Cricetulus griseus: one gene and its partner. The protein of the gene in region 2 interacts with the protein of the main gene of each other region in a pairwise test. Links are inferred from orthologs where the notes say so. Each region holds a gene or a part of one and is shown on either strand. Other genes may lie near its edges.

The links.
Region 1: the proteins of Gnb5 (region 2) and Gng3 interact in a two-hybrid assay, tested with the Homo sapiens proteins (2 studies listed by BioGRID, with this or other methods). The link is inferred for Cricetulus griseus from reciprocal best matches to the Homo sapiens genes GNB5 and GNG3.

What each region holds. Positions count from the first base shown.
Region 1 is NC_048596.1:51,247,918-51,252,474, reverse strand, and holds Gng3 (guanine nucleotide-binding protein G(I)/G(S)/G(O) subunit gamma-3), read right to left. Parts: upstream 2,900-4,557; 5' UTR 2,650-2,899; intron 2,163-2,649; coding exon of another isoform or gene 2,085-2,162; exon of another isoform or gene 1,940-2,084; intron 1,566-1,939; 5' UTR 1,350-1,565; intron 1,004-1,349; 5' UTR 1,003-1,003; coding exon 904-1,002; intron 637-903; coding exon 508-636; 3' UTR 168-507; downstream 1-167. Other genes in the region: Bscl2 (seipin), read left to right, coding at 2,085-2,162, 3,592-3,908. UniProt on the Homo sapiens protein: Guanine nucleotide-binding proteins (G proteins) are involved as a modulator or transducer in various transmembrane signaling systems.
Region 2 is NC_048597.1:186,597,034-186,599,924, forward strand, and holds part of Gnb5 (guanine nucleotide-binding protein subunit beta-5), read left to right. Parts: intron 1-1,538; coding exon 1,539-1,635; intron 1,636-2,461; coding exon 2,462-2,628; intron 2,629-2,891. UniProt on the Homo sapiens protein: Enhances GTPase-activating protein (GAP) activity of regulator of G protein signaling (RGS) proteins, such as RGS7 and RGS9, hence involved in the termination of the signaling initiated by the G protein coupled receptors (GPCRs) by accelerating the GTP hydrolysis on the G-alpha subunits, thereby promoting their inactivation.

The DNA of each region.
Region 1 (4,557 bases), on a different chromosome or scaffold from region 2:
GTGCGCTCGTTTTAACAACCTCCCCCTGGGGGCGCTCGCGCGCCTCATACCCCGCACTCTCCAGCCCTTACCATGTCTAACCCGCTGGACTGGCCCTGTTCCCTGGATGGCAAGTGTATCGACTAAGGATCCTCTTTCCCAAGAACGCTAACACAGGCGCTGCCCTCTGAGGCTCTGGATGACTTTATTCTTCAAATGCCTTTACCCTTCCAATAGCTCCAGGTGAGACTGAGACAGGCACCCGGGCACCCCCTCTCTATTGCCTGAACGGATCACAGAGGGAATCAGGCAGGATTCGGGCACATTAGCGGGGTCCATCTGGATGGAGTAAAAGGTGCTTGCAGTTGGCCTCAAAGGGTGAGGAGATGGGGCAGACAGACCTGGGGGTAAGGAGGGCTTGTGCTTGAACTAATCTCATGATAGGTAAGGGTAGACGCGCTGCTACAATTTCCTATCTAAGGGCGGGTCTCGGAGGGGGAGGTAAGTTCTGAGGAGAAACAGAACTCTTCAGAGGAGGGCACAGAAGAACTTCTTCTCCCGGAAGGGGTTTTCCGAAGTGGGCACAGGAGTGATGAGGGGGTCCTCACAAGCGTGGGCATCACAGTAAGTCATCAGGTCTGCTGCTGCCTTGGACACCTGGGGCACAGCCAGGAGGAGAAACATTAGCCAGAATTCCTGAAAGGGACTGCAGTTCTCTTCGCCAAACAGGCTGTCTTTTAGTTTCTAGTGCCCTTTGAGACAATCCTTTCCCCCCATCCCACAGTCCTCGGGAACAGCTTTGCTGACAATACCCAGTTTCCTCCTCTGGCCTCAGGGTGTCTAGAAAAGAAGCATCTTTTTTCAGGGGTTTGAAACCCTGCAGCTGAGGCCTGGAGAACTAATGGGAGCCAGGGTCGCACCCACCTTTATCCGGCACAAGCTGGCCTCAATCTTAAGCTGTTCCACCATCTTGCGTGCTTGGCCAATACTCATAGTGCTGTTCACAGGGGTCTCCCCTTTCATCCTGAAGGAAAGACAGACATCTCAGTTCTCTGCTGAAGGACTCAGCGCTTCAACAACCACACAGCTGCGACTGTGCCCAATATATTGTTCCCATATTATCTCCACTCTCCAGTGGCCATCCCATCTCTTTTTCTCAGTGGGGAGAATGGAGGAGAGATAAGAATCTCTCCAAATCCCTGTGTCCCAGTCACCAAACCATGCAAATGGTTTAAGGATTTCCAGTATTGAGCCAAATATGTTTCCAGCAGTGAAAGCCTCAGTCAGAACGAGCCCCACCCTGAAGAAATCACATCAGCCATCTGCCCCATAAGCCCTAACGAGAGAGAAACAGGCTGCTCTGTACTCACCTGAAATGGCAGGCGGCAGCCTGGGATGTAGGGTCAGTGGGGAGGGGGCACCAAACCTGCCTCAGGTAAGTGCCCCACCCTGCAGAGACGTGCAGCTAAAAATATCTGTAGCAGTGACAGCTAATGCAGAGAAGGTCACAAAAATGCGCAGACTGAAGGTCCTTGGGAGGGTGGTCTCAGTTACTGCAGCTCAAGCACTGTCCAGATGGCTGGTACCTGAAGGATGAAGGATGCTAGAAGGAGCTGCTCAGATTCTGGAGCGTACCAACTGCCTGGCCAGTGGGGGAGGTCTGGCTGCTCTTTGCATCCCCTGTGCACACCCCCACTGTTAGTATCTCACTACCTGCCCCTGCCCATTGTAGAAGTCCTTAGTCTGAACTAGAGCCCTCCCCAAAGGACCTGAGGCGGAAGGAAGCAGGCTCCCCTCTTAAGTGGGGTGGTCTGGGCCTGCCTGTGACAGCCCCTGCCGCAGAATCTGTACTGCTGTGGGAGACCCTGCTCATTTGAAAATCTGACATCAGCTGGGCTGCTGCACCCCCCCCCCAACTCTGACAGAGCACTCAGCACCCGAATCTTCGTTTCTTTCACAGTGACCCTCCCTCCATTCTGCAGATCCAGGAAAATGTGACACTCTACAGGTGATGAGCTTCTAGATCAGCACTTCCTAGCCACAAGTGACTTGAGAGGGGAGATCCAGGGGCCACAGAGGTAACCATCAGGAAGATATCTAAAGAAATGATACAGCAAAGAAGAGAAGCTGGGGGGAAGCAGACATGCAAAGACCAGATGAAAAAAGGATCAGATAAAGAGGAGGTAAGGGAGGTACGGAGCTAGGGCGAATACTATGGACCAGAGGGGCTTCCTGGAGTGGGGAGTAGGGTGGCAAGCGGTGGAGTTGGGGAGACAGGGAATTGATTCGAAATTTTTCATCTGATTTGAATAGACTGCTACTATTCAAAAAGATGTGCACTGGAGGACGCTGTCTAGAAGACGCCTCTAGGTTCAGAGACCTAGTCTCGTTTTTGTAGGGATTCTGAAGTTGGCTGCATCACGCGGGTCACAGAAGGTCGATCATGCAGCATAAAAACTGGACACTGAAAGGAGCTGAAATGCTCCTACGCTTGACTAGCTCGGGGACAGCAAGCCATCTGCGCAACACACAAGATTCGGGCTCAGGCAGGGTGCAAGGTTCTCAGGGCGAATGAGGCCCTTCCCCTCCACTCCCCTTGGACACCTAACAGGCCCAAGGAGCGATGCTGAATGAAAACAGCACCCCTTTCACCACCTCCACTCCACCCACCCCGCCTGCACTGGAACCGTTCTGGGGTGAAAAGGCCGGTGTTGAAGGTTTCGGCGGAGGGCCTCTAGAGGAGGACCAAAGGGACACTGCTGAGTCTCAGCCTGCTCCTGGGACTATCGTGGGTTCTGGATGGGGAGCGCGCTGTCCTTTTGGTGGCTGAACTGGATGAATGATCCGACAGGGACAGTGGAGAGCACAAAACAGGAGCGAGGCATCTCCTATAGGCCCTGCCCCCTGCGCAAGGGCCCCGCCCCTGCACGAGCCCTTCCCCTGCGCTTAACTGGCGATGACAGAAGGGGCGGGGCTTTCTCGGCAGCCGGAACTCCCCTCTCTAGGTTGCTTGGGCAGCCTGGGGCTGGTGAGTTGGGCGCCAGCCTCGCTGCGGTGGCCGGCGTCGTCCACCGCGTTCCCGCAGCAGTGGGCGCCCTCTCCGCGTCGCTCCGCAGGTGGGCCGCAGGGCGCTGTGCGGGGTAGGGATCACACCCTAGGTGAGCGAGCACAGGTCCAGGCGGAGGGGAGAAACTCAGGCGGCTGTTCGACCTTAGGCAAGTCTCTCATCTTGCAATTCCTGGCATTGAGGATCCTTGTCGTCTGCGCTTTGAGAGAGTTTTAAGGTTCTCATTCTGTATACGAATAATGCTGTGAATGTATCAAGGAGTTTTTTTTTTTTTTTCCGGGCTCCGGTGACTGAAGGAAACTCAGTGGATTAAGGTGAAGGAGTAATTGGAGGAGGGATGCTTGTGAAGCAATGACTTTGCTTTGTCCTGTCTCCAGTTCCTCAAAGCCAGTTTCATGAGTTCTCTCTCTCTCTCTCTCTCTCTCTCTCTCTCTCTCTCTCTCTCCCTCCCTCCCTCCCTCCCTCCCTCCCTTCCCCCTTCTCTCTCTCTTTATTGTCCTCAGCTCCCTGGGGAAAAATAGCTATTTTTTCCCCTCTTTCTCCAGGAACCTCCAGCTGCTCTATCCCATGGCCAAGGGTATCGTCCCTGTGGAAGACCAACCAGGAATTCAAAGCCTGAAGCTGGGGCTAGATCCTCTGCTGTCCCCATCATGGTCAATGACCCACCAATACCTGCCTTCCTGTGGGCCCAGGAAGTAGGCCATGTCTTGGCAGGCCGTGCACGCAGGCTGTTGCTGCAGTTTGGGGTGCTCTTCTGCACCATCCTCCTATTGCTCTGGGTGTCTGTGTTCCTCTATGGCTCTTTCTACTACTCCTACATGCCGACTGTCAGCCACCTCAGCCCTGTGCATTTCCACTACAGGTGAGAAGACTGCTCCGTTAAGGTTGAAAATTACCCCAAGGACTCCTGGATCACCCTCTGTGGAAAACCATTATTGATAGAGGATGAAACCTTACCCCAGGGTGTTAACAGGACTTCTCACCTCACAAGCCAAGGCTGGAGCATGTCTGGGCTGGCAGGGCCATAGAGTTCTAGATCTACCTGTGCTGCTAAATTCTGATTAGAAACCTAGAAAAAGAACCTGGTCACATCTGTAATGCCAGCACTTGGGAGACTGAATTGGGAGGATTATCATGAGTTCCAAGCCAGCCTGGGCTATAGGTTGAGACCTTGTCTCAAAAAGAATTAAAAAAAAAAAAAAAAAACAAAGACTAGAAAAAGAAAATTCACTTTTAGACTCTAGTAATTAACTCTGCTCTGTATAGGTTGCATAAAACCTTTTAAGTCACTGTAGAATTTCCAGCCAACTCAACCCCTTGGGCATCTAAGAATTACCCCGACTTTTAAAAGCACAGGAGGTATTAGGAAATAGCTCCTTTGCCTTTTAGTTTACTGCCACTTACCCACAATGGTCTGCACAGTAACAGGATAACTTACCTCCTAGAACATTCCCCTTTTACTCATGCTGCCAAATTCTCTGTGTGTCCCAACAGTGGCTATAAGACTAGGC
Region 2 (2,891 bases):
GAGAACCCAAGTTCAATTCCCAGCACCCATTACAACCTCCTGTAACTCCAGTCCTGGGGCATCTGACGCCCTCTTCTGTCCTCCTCACACACCCATACACGTGCATTCACACACACACACACACACACACACACACATCCATATTCACATAAATAATAAAATATTTTAAAATATGTAATATATATGCGCATATATTTTGGCCATGCCATTTCCTGGAAATAATTCTATTCTAAGGGTTCTGCTCCTAAGCTAATGTAATTTTATTTTAGTCATCAACATGCATATAAAGGTTTTTACATAAAAATGTTCATCGCATGGCTAAGGACAGTTCTATTGCTGCTGCCCAGCCCATTACCCCTTGTAATATATTCAGAAGTCAGCTTTTCTCCCACAAAATATTGTTCCTCATAGAATTATGTATAAGGGAGAAATTTGGTCCTAAGGAGAACATTGAGCTGGCCTTGCTCTCACAGGTTGAGACATAGCCACATGGAGAATATTGGACAGACACATAAATCATCTTCTCTGAATTTTGGAAAATCTTCTAATTTTGGAAAATGCTTACAACATAATGTTGACAGAGACGGCAATGCAACACCCACCCCATCTATTTCCACACAGTCTTAGTTAGGGTTTCTATTGCTGTGATGAAACACTGTGGCCAAAAAGCAAGTTGAAAAGGAAAGGGTTTATTCGGTTTACACTTTCACATCACACAGTTCAGCATCAAAGAGAGTTAAGACAGGAATTCAAACATGTCAGGAACCTGGAGGCAGGAGCTGACACAAACCATGGAGGGGTACTGCTTACTGGCTTGCTTCTCATGGCTTGTTCTGCCTGCTGTTTTTTGTTTTTTGTTTTTTTTTTATAGAACCCAGGACCACCAGATCAGGGGTGGCCCCACCTATTATGGGCTGAGCGCTCCTCCATCAGTCACTAATGAAGAAAATGCTCTATAGGCTTGCCTACAGCCCCAACTTTTTCTTCTCCCCAGAGCTGAAGACCTAACCCAGGGCCTTGCACTTATTAAGCAAGTGCTCTACCACTAAGCCAAATCCCCTACAACCCAGTCTTATGGAGGCATTTTCTTAATTGAGGTTCCCTCCTCTCAGATGACTTCAGCATCCGGCACATAGACATAAAATAGAAACAACACAAAAAAGAACATCACAGACATTAGCAAATAACTCTTTAAGACTTGGGGTAATTTTCATTTCCTCATGCACGAATTTCTAAGTATTTCCAAATGTTCCTTGATGACTTATATGCTTCATTGGGGTAAATAAAGTAGTGTTATATGTTTATCTCTGTACCTGAAGAAATTTTCCACATTTGCTGTTTCTTTGAGTCTCTACTGACTCCTGGAGGTTAGCAGGAACAGGGCTGAAGGATAAACAGGAGAGAAAACTAAATAGGTTTTCTCCTGTCATGCCTCAAACTACAGAAACTACTGGCCCCCAAGAATAGCTCTGTGGTCTGCACTTTCACAAATTGAAGCCAGAAATAATGGTGCCTTTGTCTGTTTCTTTGCATCCCAGTGTCGCCTCTACGACCTGCGGGCAGATAGAGAGGTCGCCATCTACTCCAAGGAGAGTATCATATTTGGAGCGTCAAGCGTGGACTTCTCCCTCAGTGGTAATGTTTTATTTCCGAAACTTCTCCAGGACTGTAGGACTAGACCTAAAAAGCAAACCGTCTCTCTGCCTACCTTCCCATCACCGAGCCTTCTGCAGGGCGATATGCTCAGGCCACATCTGACCTTCAGATACCCCTCCCTTCACCTCATCTGCTGGCCCTTCCCTTTGTGCTCTGAAACTCCCTGCTACCTTGCCTATAGCTGGTAGGCAGCTAGCAGAAGCCAAGCCAGCTCTGATGGGACACTCACCTGTTCTGAGTCTGCGCCTTTGCACACAAAATTGCAGCCACTTTATGACACCTCTACCCAGCTCAGCTGCTCAGCCCTCGAAAGCATGGATCACCTTGCTTTAATCTCTGTAAACTCAAGTTGAAGGTTTAATGGCAGGAGTGTTCCTGCTTCCTCTAAGGCCCAATGGAGAACCACACACACGTGAGCCTGGCATAGTGGCTCCTACCATGATGCTACAGTGATATTCCTCCCGTGCCTTTCACAGATGACAGTGACAGCTTTCTCTTGAATTGCAAAGGCAACATATATTGTCTGCCACACAGTGGGCCTAGATGAGCCTATATTTATTGGATGGATGGGTGGATGAGTGGATGGATAGATGGATGGATGGATGGATGGATGGATGGATGGATGGATGGATGGATGAGAAAGTTCATGAGTAACTAGGTGGGAAGATGAGTGGGTGGGTGGATGGATGGATGGAAAAGTTCATGAGTGACTAGGTGGGTGGGTGGGTGGGTGAGTGAGAGTGACAGTCAAGGAAGGAACAACAGAAAAATGGTGTAACCATTGTATTGTGTCTTCTGCTCCCAGGTCGCCTGCTCTTCGCTGGGTACAATGACTATACCATCAATGTCTGGGACGTTCTCAAGGGTTCCAGGGTCTCCATCCTGTTTGGACATGAAAACCGTGTCAGCACTCTTCGAGTTTCTCCCGATGGGACAGCATTCTGCTCAGGATCATGGGATCACACTCTAAGAGTAAGAGAGATGTCTCACTTTTCCTGTGTGAAAGGAGAGGAAGGACTGGTGGCCTTCCTGAGACAGGATGTCAACCAGCATTCTCATGTCTAGAACTACAGATGCCACGGGGGTGTCTCTGGGAGGTTAGGCGCTTCATCCACACAGGTGTTCAGAGAGACCAAGAGTTTCGGCATGGTGTTGAAAGAAAACTGGAGCTAGATAACCCAAATGTTTTGTTTTCCCCTAACTGTCTGATTGATTGTGATTCTGTCCTTGAGTAA